Macaca mulatta: one gene and its partners. The protein of the gene in region 2 interacts with the protein of the main gene of each other region in a biochemical or structural test. Links are inferred from orthologs where the notes say so. Each region holds a gene or a part of one and is shown on either strand. Other genes may lie near its edges.

Region 1 (4,077 bases), on a different chromosome or scaffold from region 2:
GTCTAGAAATTGCCAAACGGCATCACTTTTAACATTTAATTTTGGCTTAAGGAACCAGATGCTAGAAAATATCATTCCTATTGTTTGCATTTGAGATTACCATGATCTAATTTCGACTGAGAACCGACAGCAGTCAAAGCACGTACGGAGGGTATTTTGTTCTTGTAAATGACTTTAGAGAATTTACTCTGTAAGCAGAGAACCCTGACATGGACATTCAATTGCAGGTATTGTTCTACTAGGATTAACTGCATTAACATTTCTTCAGAAGGCTGAGCGTCATAACCTCTTGCTTCACATAGAATGTTTAATGCACAAAGTATTTCACATACTTTTAAAATTAACTTAAGAGTCATCCCCCCTCACCAAAAACCATAATGAACTCTAAACATTTCACTTAAAAATATCAGTGATTTAATATTGAAATAAACTTGCAAATCAAGGACCCCGTAGAAACAACAATGAAAGCAAACTGAAAAAGACAATCCCTGTAGATGGTTTCCTGGGACTTCCAATTGGTTGGTTTACAATTAAATGCAGAGAGCTGCAGGGATACTCAGGGGGGCCTTTATCTTCCACTTCACAACACTGCTAGTGACCTGAGCGCCTCTTCAGCTCACCAAGGGCTGATCCTTCAAGGGCAACTGACAGTGGAAAGACACTAGCTAGCCTCGGTCGGCTGCAAGTCCCTTTCTAACTCTCCCACTTCCTGCAAAAGTCACCAGCAGTCTGTTCCCTTTTAATGGACTCTCACAGTTGACCACCTCCTCTTAACCAAATGCAATATTCTCTTTGCCCTGATGCTCCGAAATTGTATTTTAAATAGCCTTATCTACGATTACCTACTCCTTTGAGCACAATCGCTTCATATGCTGACTAGACAGTGGAAATCACTCATAGAGGTGGCTGTGCTTTTCGTAAAAGTGTACTTGGGAGCAGATGTCTAAAAAGGAAAGGAAAAATTAAACACCTTATCAGCACCACGATCATGGGACCTGACCTTTGGGATGTTTTTCCCCAGGTGTGATGGATTCAGACAGATCCATCCATATTATGTTCACTCTAGTGGCCCAAGATACCTGTGCCACACAGCTGGCTGGTGGCAGGATTCACTCCATGACTGCCACCCTGGGTAGCTCCCCCTGGCCTAGAAGGGGAGGGAGCTAAGAAGCCCTAGCCATAGCTCTGTCTTGTCAGGAAATTGCTACACGACAAAGAAGAGGTAGAAGAGTCAGGGCATCCGGCAATCTAAGAGAAAAACCAAACTACTGCTGCTCTAACTAGAGGACCTAGAGCTCCTTTAGTTCCAGCTTTCTAAACTTCTGTGTGGTGACGGGGAGCTGGGAAGAAGGGTCACACACTTTTGAGAATCAGATGAAAGCTGTAATTCTCTCACCAGCAAAAAGATTCACAAACACAATTTCACCCAGTTTTGCAGGGTTCAGAGACCCCTGAAGCCCTTCTATGTATCGATTCTCCATAAGCCCCCAAGGATCCTCCGAGTTAAGAATGCCTGAATTCATTGGCGATTACCTGAACTCTGACACCTCTGGCCCTTATGTTATTTTTCTTAAATAAGGCCTCTGTCCTCATCAACAGGGTTACAGGTCTAATCTCGTGTTGACAGGGTCTATTTTAATTTTTTTTGAGACGGAGTCTCGCTCTGTCTCGACCAGGCTGGAGTGCAGTGGCCCGATCTCGGCTCACTGCAGCCTCCGCCTCCCGGGTTCAAGCGAGTCTCCTGTCTCAGCCTCCCGAGTAGCTGGAATTACAGGCGTCTGCCACCACGCCCGCAAATTTTGTACTTTTAGTAGTACGGGATTTCACCATGTTGGCCAGGCTGGTCTCGAACACCTGACTTCAGGTGATCCGCCTGCCTCGGCCTCCCAAAGTGCTGGGATCACAGGCGTGAGCCACCGCGCCTGGCCGACAGGGTCTATTTTAAATGAGTCCCTCTGCCCTTGTGCCATTTGCCTGCTCGAACTCTCCCTCCCCCACTGCAAGCTTTCAACAGTTTGTTCTCTCTCTCTCTGCTCACTCAGAAAAGTCAAAGTCTGTCCGTGCCCAGTAGATGCAGCCTACAGTAGGCAGGGGCCCAAGATTCCAGCGCGGTCCAGCCCGATGGGAAGCACAAACACACCCCCCCGAACGCGCCCAGCCTGGCTCGCCAGCAACTTGGACCGCGCAGCGCAATCGCCGCCGCTCCCCCGTTACTCCGGGACGCGTTTCTCCGGGAACCTTCGCTCCTTCGGGCCTCTCCTCCTCCCCTGTCCACTGGGCTCCCACCCCGGCAAGCGGCCGCTCCGCTGGGTGCGTGCGGGTGGACGCCCCCGGGGAGGTGACGGGCCCGGCCCGGGGAAAGATCCCCGCCGCCACCGCACGGGGCCAGCCTCCCTCCGGCGCCAGGGGGTGTGTGTGGCGGGGCGGCGACGTCCCGGGAGTCCTGCCCGCCGGTGTCAGGGCCGGGAGCGCGTGTCACTCCGGGCGAGAGTTCGGACTCCCGCCGGTTCCAAGTTCTCGGAGTGAGCCAGCCCCGGGGCGGACTTGCCGGCGCGCCGGGGACCGGGACCCAGGGGCGGGGAGGAGCGGGGCAGGGGTGCCCGGCCCGGCACCTACCAGATGAAGTCGGTGCAGTGGCTGCAGAAGGTGGGCTGCTTGAAGAAGCGCGCGATGAATTTGTGGTCCTTCACCTCGTGCACGTTCTTCTGCCTCAGCGCCCCTTTGCGGGCGAAGCGGTTGGCCACGTCCTGAGACGCCGTGGAGTCGTTGGCCGGGAAAACGTCAGCCATGGTCCCCCCCAACCACCTCTTGCCTCCGCCGGGGAGCGGCGGCCGCGGAGGGCCGGGTGGGCGGGGGCGGCGGCGGAGAGGTGCGGGCTCGGGGCGACCCCGGGCGGGGGGCGCGGGCCGGTGGCCGAGGTCGCGGCGAGGGGGCGCGGCGGGGACCGGGGAGAGTCAGGCCGGTGCGGCGCAGAGCGGGAGCGGGAGCCGGAGCCGGAGCCGGAGCCTGAGCCGCTGGCTCGCCCGCTGGCCCCAGGCTCACTGACAGCCCGGCGCCCGGCGCTCGCGCTTCCTACTCGCGGCGGCAGAGGCGGCCCGGAGCGGCGCCGCCCACCGCGCATGCCCCGAGCGCGAGGCCGCGCGGACGAGAACGGCGGGGGCGCGCGGGCCAGGAGCGCGCGGGGGGGGGCGGCGGCGGCGCCGAGCGGGCCGCGCCGAGTGCGGAGGAGGCAGAGGGCGCCTGGCGGTGCTGGGAAGACTGAACAGGGAGAGGCGGCGGCGGCGGGCGGCCCGGGGAGGGCCAGCCCGAGTGGGGATGCGGAGGAGGAGGAGGGCGGGAGTGGCGGGTGCGCGCTCCTCCGCCGCCTTTTTCTTTCCTCCCTTCCTGCTCCCGGCTCTCCACCCTCTCGCCCTCCTCCGCCTCAGTTCTCCTCCTCTTCTTCCGCTCCTGCCGTCCGGCCTCCTCCTCTCCCCGTCTTCCTCCTCCCACTCCCGCTCTCTCTCTGTCTTATCGACCGGCTCGGAGTCCTGCGCCGTCCGTGCCGGGCCGAGAGGAGCCCGCGTTCCGGAGTAGGCTCCACGCGCAGCCCCTGCCCCGGAGCCTCCCGCCCGGTGCTCACCCGCTAACCCCTGAGCACACGCAACAGGGAGTCCCTTCCCCATCTTCAGGACCCCCGATGTCTCCGGGGCACGACGCCCGTGTGTTAGCAGCCTGTACCAGCTTGAGGTTTCACCTGGCCAAAATGTCGCTTTCATCACGTGTGCCCTAAAGGACACAGGCTCTAGACCTTCCTACAGGAGGAAGACAGCGATTTTTAACTAATTAAGCATTGACCCTTTCCCCTACCTTCTCTTCTTGACCTATACCGTATTTCACCTGCGTGTCGTAGAGACTTTTAATTTGTACGTCGGGCATTTATCACCACGTGGGATGGTTAAAGGACTTGTCTTAGGTATTTATCCCGTTATTCACTGGCCATCAGAGGGACGATGTTGATTATCAGGCTTTCTTGATTTTGCAAGTCTAGGACCTTAATTTAGAAATCATTTTGCATCCCAAGCTAATTACTGCAATACT
Region 2 (4,144 bases):
GACTCCAGAGGCTCCCTCCCTCGGCACCCGGGCTCTGGACACTGAGGTCCAGGCTGTGAGGGCTTCAGGGTCCTCCCAGAGCCTTGCCCTTAGCCCAGGGTCTTCTCCAGGCAGGGCTGGGAAGGGGCTGCAGGGTAGGGCAGCTGGGTAAGTCCCGTCTGGAAGTAACAAAGACGGCGCACAGTGGAGCTTCAGCTTTTCAGTCTGCCTGTTAGTGTGTGCACGTGCATCCATCTGTTTCAAAGTCTGTGTCTGCGTCCAGGTTTGAAGGAGAGGGGTGTCTCCCTGGGCCCCAGTTTGGGTGTGTCTGTGCCCATTCCTGTCATTCTCTGCCATGGGAGTCTAAACCCCTGACCCCAGGCCTTATGTCCACCTCCAGGCCATGACCATGGGCCCATTCCCACTGGACCTGTGAGGAGGGGAATGGCTGGACTCCTGGCTCGGGTACGCACACACAGCCAGGGAAGCAACATTCAGGTACAGCCGGCAAGGGGGAGGGGCAGTGAACAGCTATGGCATGGTGGCTGTCGGCGTGTGGGTACAGGTGCCTGTGAAGTGTCTGGACCATGCAGGGGGCCGGCGTGCACCCGCAGAGAGAAAGCAGTGTCCATTGGGAAGCGGGCGGGAAGACGGGCAGCCCTACTCCCACCTGCGGCCTGGGGGAGGGTGGACAGGGCTCCCCACCAGCCACCGGGCTCAGCAGGGGTGGTGAATAGATAGGAGGGACTGAGCCAGGCCCATCTGTCCCCTGGCCCTCCTCTCTCCCCATGACCCAGAGTGAGACAAGAGGAACCGAGTACCCAGCTGCTTCTTGACTATGTGTCCCAAACAAGTCACCCTAAATCTCTGGCATCAGTTTCCTCAACTGTCAAATGGGGCAGTAACTGCACCTCTTGCCCTCCTGGGGCAGTGGGGAGAGTCCACCATGGTCTGTGTGTCCAGTCCTCAGAGACCAGCACCCCAGGGCCTTGGATAAGCAGGTGTTCCCTGGGCAAGGGCGGCAACGACTATCAAACAGCAGCCAGGCCCCAGCCCTGCCAGCCCTACCCTCAATCCCTCAGGTCCAGGCCACTGGCCTGATCCCCACCTTCTTTTTTTTTTTTTTTTTTTTTTGAGGCGGAGTCTCGCTCTGTCGCCCAGGTTGGAGTGCAGTGGCGCGATCTCGGCTCACTGCAAGCTCCGCCTCCCAGGTTCCCGCCATTCTCCTGCCTCAGCCTCCCGAGTAGCTGGGACTACAGGTGCCGCCACCACGCCCGGCTAATTTTTTTGTATTTTTAGTGGAGACGGGGTTTCATTGTGTTAGCCAGGATGGTCTCGATCTCCTGACCTCGTGATCCGCCCGTCTCGGCCTCCCAAAGTGCTGGGATTACAGGCTTGAGCCACCGCGCCCGGCCCTGATCCCCACCTTCTTCAGCAAACAACCTTACACAGCAGACACTGGGTGGAAAGCATGGGGCTGGCCGACGGAGGGACAGACAAGGCACCAGGTGAACAGGAGACCAACTACAGGCCCAGCTGAACCAACTGCTAATCTTGGGGTTCCAGGACCAGCCATGCAGACAGGTTATGGATTCGCCAGTGGTGTGAGGGACAGGGGACCTGGAGGACAAGGGGTGTGTGGACACTGGACCCCCACCAGGGTGTGGTGGAAGTCCCTGGCCTGTGGGAGACAGACATACCTCAGGGGTCAGAACCCACAGAGAAAAGGCTCTGTTCTCCTTAGCCAGGAGGCAGGAGGCTTTATAGCAAGTAACCCCAGCCGGGCTAAGCAGCCTCTGAGGAGGGGTAGTGCCTTTGGAGCTAAGGAATGTGGTTGCCACCAATGGCCAACTCAACCCGGTCCCAGGCATACCGGCTGGGACACACTAGAGTACAGACACAGACTTACCAGCCTGCAGACACACAGTGATGAGTACACTAACCAGGTGTGCACACACACAGAGCTCAGCTCTCACATGCCCAGGAGTCCAGACCTGTACACACACACACACACACACGCAGACCTGTATACTCACACACACTCCAGCACACACACAACTGCAGACACACTGATGCCCTTACTGCAACCCCTCCTGGGTACACACAGGCAGGCGCGTGCACACTTGGCTGACCCCAGAGGGACCTGCACACACACGCCCAGCTGTGTTCACACGCACACGTGTACACACACCTACGCAAAAGCACCCAGGTCTCCACCTTTCTGGAGGGGCCCCAGGCTGCCCAACACCCTCCTTCATAGCACACTGAGGCCAAAACGCGACCAAAGAGCGAGGCCAACGGCCAGGAGCCGCAGTGCGGGCCCCTCCCTGCCAGGATGCCCCCCCACCCCTGTGCAGGGCTGAGCTTCCTGCGCGGGGACTCGGAAGGCGCCGGGCTGCTGCCTCCCGGCAATGTCCGCGTCCTCTCCGCGGAAGCCCCCTCAGGCCCCCGTGCGACCCCCGCCCGCCCCAGAGGGACGCGCTCAGGGAGGGGGCGGCGGGCCGGGGGTGAGCGCGGGCCCCCACCTGGTGGTGCGTCTCGCCCTCCACGTTGACGCCGTTGACCTCGACCAGGCGGTCCCCAGCGCGCAGCGCCGCGGCCTCGGCGGGGGAACCGGGTTCCACGCGCCGGATGAACTGCCCGCGGCGGCCCTTCTCGCCGTGCAGGTGGAAGCCGTAGCCCTGCTCTCCGCGCACCAGGCGGCACAGGCGCGGCCGCAGCGGCTCCGGAGCGGCCATGGCGCCCGCTGCCCACCAGCCGCCCGCGGGCAGGGGCGCGGGGCAGTTCGGGGGCGGCGGCGGCGCTGGGCACCCGGCGGTGGCTTCGGCGGCTCCCGTTCGGCTCCCGTCGCCTCGGGCTCCGGCTCGGGCTCCAGCTCGGGCTGCGGCACCGCCCCCGCGCCCGCCCCTTCCCCGCCCCCGCCCCCGCCCCTTCCCCGCCCCCGCCCCCGCCGCCCGGCCGCCCCCACCTCCGGTCCCAGCCATCCCGGCCTCCGTGGCCGGTCATCCCGACTGGGGGTGGGGGAAGGCGGCAGGACTAGGGGACCCCCCCAGCCACCAGGACCCCTCTGTCTCGCTCCTGCTCTGGGCAGCCGCCTTGGTGCCAGCGCCTTTGCCTTCTATCCCAGGAACATTTATTGGATACCTACTGTATGTGCAGCATCCAGGCAGGTCTTGAGGTGGGCGACGGGTTGGACAAAGGGTCTCCAGGACAAGGGACCCCCCCAAAGGGGCCAAAGGGTAACAACAAGGGCCACAGCCCTCCCCACCCTCCCGGGGAAGCCCTCCCAGACCCCCGTGCCTATCTCCTCTCCGCTATGCCTGATCTGGATCCCTCCTGCAGCCAGAACTGCCCTGGCCCAGGGGTCTCAGGAGGGCCCAGGAGGCAAAAAGAGGTTTAAACGTGACACGCAGCTGTCCCTCCCTGCATCCTGGGGGCCAGTGGCTTGAGACTCCCTGGCCTACCCTCCGTGTTTGGGCTATCTGCACCGCGTCCATTCCCGCCATTCTTTCCCTTGGCCGGGCCGGCACCCCTACTTGTGTCCCAGCCCACCCCAGGCCTGGACTGTGACTCTGCAGGGTAACGAAAGGATGAGTCTCGACATGGGCCTCCACTGACTTCTTTGGACTCTAAGCTCTGGGTGGTGGCCAGTGTGCACAGGCGTTGCTCCACAGTGTCCGCAGGCAGGCAGCAGGCCTCCTCTCCCCTGCCCACAGCCGTCTACGTCCCTGAGCCTCTACGTGAAGCACGAGTGTCCCTCCTTCCCCAACAGGACAGTCGCCACCACAGTGAAATCGTTTATGCTTGAGCGCATTTTACTTGGAACAACCCTAGGGGCTTGGCCACTTCACAGACCTGCAAACAGGCCTGGAGAGGGACCCACAAAGCTTCCTCAGCTCCCTTTGGGCCCAGGGATGTGAGATTCGGAGTCCATGCTCTTCACCACCCAGCTCTTCCTCTGTCTCCAATATAGGAAGACAGCTGAGTCCAGGCACAGCCCCAGTCTGCCCTCCTCCCCAGCCCAGCCAGGCCCCCCGCACATACCTGGTTCCCAGGGGTCAGGCACAGCCAGCCCAGGCAATTCCCCATGTGAGCAGTAGAAGCAGGCTTGGCGCAGTCCTCCTCTCCCTATCCTCTCTCTGGGGCCTTGGCCTGGGCTCCCCTG
Region 3 (4,311 bases), on a different chromosome or scaffold from region 2:
AACCTGAAATTTCAATTTAAAAAAAATCATTTTTCTATCCTTATCCAGGGAGAATGTAAAATGAGGACATGAAGAAAGTGTACCAAAAGATCTTCAGATTCGAAATTACCTTTCCAAAACTGCCCTTCCCAATCACTTTCAAGAAGTGAAAGTCAGATGGTTTAGCATGAGGATTGGACGATGGGCCAAGGTTGATTTGCTGAGAAGGACTTGGCTAGGAAAAAAAGAAAAGGATTTCTCTTAATATCATTGCTTCAAAGGAAGACAGTTATAATATAAACGATGTAGAAGATGTTACATCTACAAATGACTGAGGCAAATGACCATACATCTGTCTATAAACATTCAAAACTACATTTCATCACAAGTCATTTCAAATGAGTATGGAAACTGCACACAATCATGTTGTTTCGGACAGATAAAACTTTTTAATGAAATATGCCTTTTAAAATAATCCACTTTGGAGGTAAAATACGCCCACGAAAAAATAAAATAATACTGACTGAATACTTAAATATTTGTTATCACTTGTTATGCCATAAAGTAATGAAGCATTCCTGCTTTGATACTAAATTCTAGAAATGCTATTTTAAACCATTAAGGCAGGAATACTAACTGACTCCCTTACAGTTCTCCACAGAGGCACTGCACATAGAAAATACTTACTGGAGGAGAAGGGTTGGCATTCATAAGCTCAGGCTCCTGAGGTTGGGAGATTTTCAAGATGGACTGAACTTCAGGGCTGCAGGGAATAAAGGGCACGATTCAGAATCCAGCTCGCCACTAGGGGGCATACCAACATCAAAAGTCGGTTTCTGGCTCTACCGTCTTCTACCCGGATAATTCGGTGTTTAAACTGAAAATACCCCAATATATTACTCAGTTAAAGAAAATAATAAACCCCGTTAAATACAGAAATAAGGATTGTTGCTCATGGAGAAAGGGAGTGAATTCGGCCAACACGAACCATTTATCTTACATCTCCAGTTCAAGCCAAAACAGCAAATTAACTTTAATGTTTAAAATGTGTCTAATATATTAAAATTTAAGGAGAAAAGAGATTCCCACCCCAGAAGAAGTCTTCGCCTTCCCGATAAACGCCGTGATGAGAATGTTTACTGCTGGCAAATTCAAACCAGACTAGTTATTCTTATTTCCTCAAATCCCGTCAAACTTACTGTTTGCATGCATAGGAGTTATTGGCAATCTTCTGAATAAAGTCGTTCAGGCCCATCCTCCTTTGCTTCATGAAAGCTGTGGATTAAGGAGGAGAAATAAAGAAACGTTTAGACGGCTTCATAACGTCCGGAGCCACATACACTAATCTGATGCCGGACTTTCAAAAAATTTCCACTTTGAGTCTCCTGGAGCATAAGTCCCGCCAGATTCCTGCACTCACCGATGAGAATTGCCACCATGCCCCTCATCCTGGAGTAAGTGAGGGTGCCCTTAGCTGCCTCGGTTTTCACCGTCATCACCACCGCGGGGAGACAGGAAGACGTTAGCGCTCGGAGACCGGCTCGGTGTGTGCTGCGCCGGGCCGCGCGCTCGGCCTTATAGGCGAGGCCCCGCCGCGGGGGCGGGGCCTGAGCGACAATGAGAAGCGGCCCCGCCCTTCGCCTCGCCCCTCCCTCCGCCCGGACCGCCTCGCGGTTTGCTGGCAGCGGTGCTGCCTGTGGCGGGCGGTTCTGTCCCCATTGAGAGGGCGAGCCCCGGGCAGGGGCGCGAGGACCGTCCGGGGAGGGCCTGGCGCGGGGCCGTTATCAGCCTCCATCGGCCCCCGAGGCAGAAGAGAGAGGGAACGCGCCAGCGGAGGGCGCGGGGAGGGCCGGAGAGCCCAGGGTAGTTTTCCACCTCTCATTTATTCCGCCGCCCGAGAAAGCCGGGGTCGCAGCGCCGAGGCGCTTCCCGGCGGGTGCGCGGCGGCCACGGTGGCTTCGCTCACTCCCTCCCTGCAGATTCCCTTTCCCCGGCCTGGCGCCGTCCTGCGGCCGGACCCCCACCTCCCTCCCCAGCCCAAGCCGGCGGTGCGCGCCACCCTCTGGGGTTTATCTCTGGGGCGCAGGGCGAAGCGCGCGACCTTGCCTGCCAGGTCCTCCCGTTCCCGCCGCCGGGACCCCGGCTCCCAGAACTCCGACGAAAGCCTGCCCCTGCGGACGAGCCCGCGAGCGGGGCAGGAGCCGAGCCGCTCTGGGGAAGTGAGCCAAGTCCCCAGAGGGGCCGGCGACCGCGCTTACCCAGTCCGCTCAGCAGGAAGGACTCGCTCCTTTTCTGCGCCTCGGCCCTCTTTTTGTGGCGGGGCCGCAGCAGGGACTCGAGCCGGGCCCTGGCCAGCGCGCCCTGCATCTCCCTCATGGGCAGCGGGCAGCGGGCGGCGGGGCGCACGGCAGGCGAGAGCGACCGGCGAGCACTGACGTTTCCTTGAAGGAGCCGCCGTGACTCAGGCCGGGCAAGATTTCCTGCCCCGAGTCCCAAAACAAACAAATGGCCCTTGTGCACGGTCGGGTCGCTTCCGAAAACGCCTTTTTTGTGCTTTTGGCCAAAACCAAGCAAGGCTGAAAAATCCCAGAACTTGGAAGAGGAGGAAGGAAGGAAAGAAAGAGGGAAGGGGGGGAGGGAGAGGTCAGGAATGTGGAGGGGAGGGGGCGGAAATAAAAGTCGTCTCTGCTCTAAAGGAAAAAGTACAATCTGCATTTCACTTTTTTTTTTCTGAAGTAATCTCTGAGAACATTTTGTCCGTTCCGCATGTAATTTTTTTCCTTGCATTTTTAATCTCTGCCATGCCAAGAACACGTGAGGAGGTAACAAGCGAAAGGAGGGGGTAGCTTTGCCCGGAGACCGACCTGGCGTGACCCGGGCATCCTCGATTCCTCTATGGGGCCTGCTTCTCTCCAGCTCTCCCACCTGAAAACCCTGCAGGTCACGATACATGATCTTAAAATCATCCCTACTCCTCCCTGGATTTAACTCAAGGCTGCCCCAGGGCTTGTCTTCGTTTTGCCACCTCGCTCTTTCTCTCGAGTCCCACAGAAACTGTGACTTTATCCTGAAAGATTAGCCGGGTGACCCTGCTGCAGAAGGCAGGGCAGGGAAGGGAGGGAAGCTGGAGGCGGCGGCCCGGGCTCTGCAGAGCAGCGATGCCGGTGCCTTCCAGTAACCCCGCGACTGGGGGATGTCTGGGAGCCGCAGGCTGACCGCCGGCGCGGGGACGTGAGCCAGTGCTGGCTGGGAAGCCGCGAGCGCAGCGATTGGGCCCAGAGCAGGCAGTTACAAGTTACCACTATTCGCAAGGCCAGGTACCTGGCGCTTGCTGTTGCTGTCTGCGGTGGCTGCCCTGCCATGACCTCTTGCTGCCAAGGGCTCTGCCATTTTAAAGTTGCCTACTAGATCTGGCACAGTCCCGAAATACCAGCTGTCAAACCAGGAATAGCATGTGAAACGCCTTTTCCTTGGTCTTGGGCAGGGGTTTGTTTTGCAGGCAAAACCACCCCCACTTGCCCTAAAGTGATCTCTAGTCTCAACTGCTTCTTGGTTTGCTTTGTTGCAACAGTCCCAAACCGAGAGAAGAGAAACACATTCTCTTTCCTGGAGTCTGGCTGGGAACGTTTTCTTAATGCCCACACTTAAAAAAAAGCACTTACTGGGGACGGGCGCAGTGGCTCACACCTGTAATCCCAGCACTTTGGGAGGCCGAGGCAGGTGGATGACGAGGCCAAGAAATCGAGACCATCCTGGCTAACATGGAGAAACCCCGTGTCTACTAAAAATAGAAAAAATTAGCCAGGCGTGGTGGTGTGCGCCTATAGTCCTAGCTACTCGGGATGCTGAGGCAGGAGAATCGCTTGAACCCGGGAGGCGGAGGTTGCTGTGAGCCGAGATCATGCTACTGCACTCCAGCCTGGCAACAGAGCGAGACTCGTCTCAAAAAATAAAAATAAAATAAAATTAAAAAAAGCACTTACTAGTACCTGAAATTGACATGCCAACCTAAAGCAATGTTTAGGCAATTTCAAATCACAGTAACTGGCCTATGTCTGCTTCCTTTTGCACGGAATCGTCATAAAATATGACTTTGTTATTGCCAATGCCACCCATACGTCATGTCCCACCATTCAACTAGCCTAGCTCAGCCTAGCCCTGCTCCCACCTGGTTCCTTCTCCTGTTGAGAGAGCAAATTGTGCTCAGGCTGTCCAGAAACATCAACCTGCACACAGACTTTTGCATGTTTGTTTTCAAACATTAAATTAAGAAATCTACAACCAGAGACCCTCTCCTACACCCCACCTTATGTGCCTTCCCCATGTCAAGTA

The links.
Region 1: the proteins of NHERF2 (region 2) and PRKCA form a complex in vitro, tested with the Homo sapiens proteins (2 studies listed by BioGRID and IntAct, with this or other methods). The link is inferred for Macaca mulatta from reciprocal best matches to the Homo sapiens genes NHERF2 and PRKCA.
Region 3: the proteins of NHERF2 (region 2) and SGK1 form a complex in vitro, tested with the Homo sapiens proteins (2 studies listed by BioGRID, with this or other methods). The link is inferred for Macaca mulatta from reciprocal best matches to the Homo sapiens genes NHERF2 and SGK1.

Annotation. Positions count from the first base shown.
Region 1 is NC_133421.1:76,041,999-76,046,075, reverse strand, and holds the start of PRKCA (protein kinase C alpha type), read right to left. Parts: upstream 2,837-4,077; 5' UTR 2,790-2,836; coding exon 2,617-2,789; intron 1-2,616. UniProt on the Homo sapiens protein: Calcium-activated, phospholipid- and diacylglycerol (DAG)-dependent serine/threonine-protein kinase that is involved in positive and negative regulation of cell proliferation, apoptosis, differentiation, migration and adhesion, tumorigenesis, cardiac hypertrophy, angiogenesis, platelet function and inflammation, by directly phosphorylating targets such as RAF1, BCL2, CSPG4, TNNT2/CTNT, or activating signaling cascade involving MAPK1/3 (ERK1/2) and RAP1GAP.
Region 2 is NC_133425.1:3,253,145-3,257,288, reverse strand, and holds the start of NHERF2 (Na(+)/H(+) exchange regulatory cofactor NHE-RF2), read right to left. Parts: upstream 2,819-4,144; 5' UTR 2,718-2,818; coding exon 2,505-2,717; intron 1-2,504.
Region 3 is NC_133409.1:39,239,214-39,243,524, forward strand, and holds the start of SGK1 (serine/threonine-protein kinase Sgk1), read right to left. Parts: upstream 2,837-4,311; 5' UTR 2,767-2,836; coding exon 2,238-2,766; intron 1,530-2,237; exon of another isoform or gene 1,476-1,529; coding exon of another isoform or gene 1,400-1,475; intron 1,255-1,399; coding exon 1,179-1,254; intron 743-1,178; coding exon 667-742; intron 215-666; coding exon 110-214; intron 4-109; coding exon 1-3. UniProt on the Homo sapiens protein: Serine/threonine-protein kinase which is involved in the regulation of a wide variety of ion channels, membrane transporters, cellular enzymes, transcription factors, neuronal excitability, cell growth, proliferation, survival, migration and apoptosis.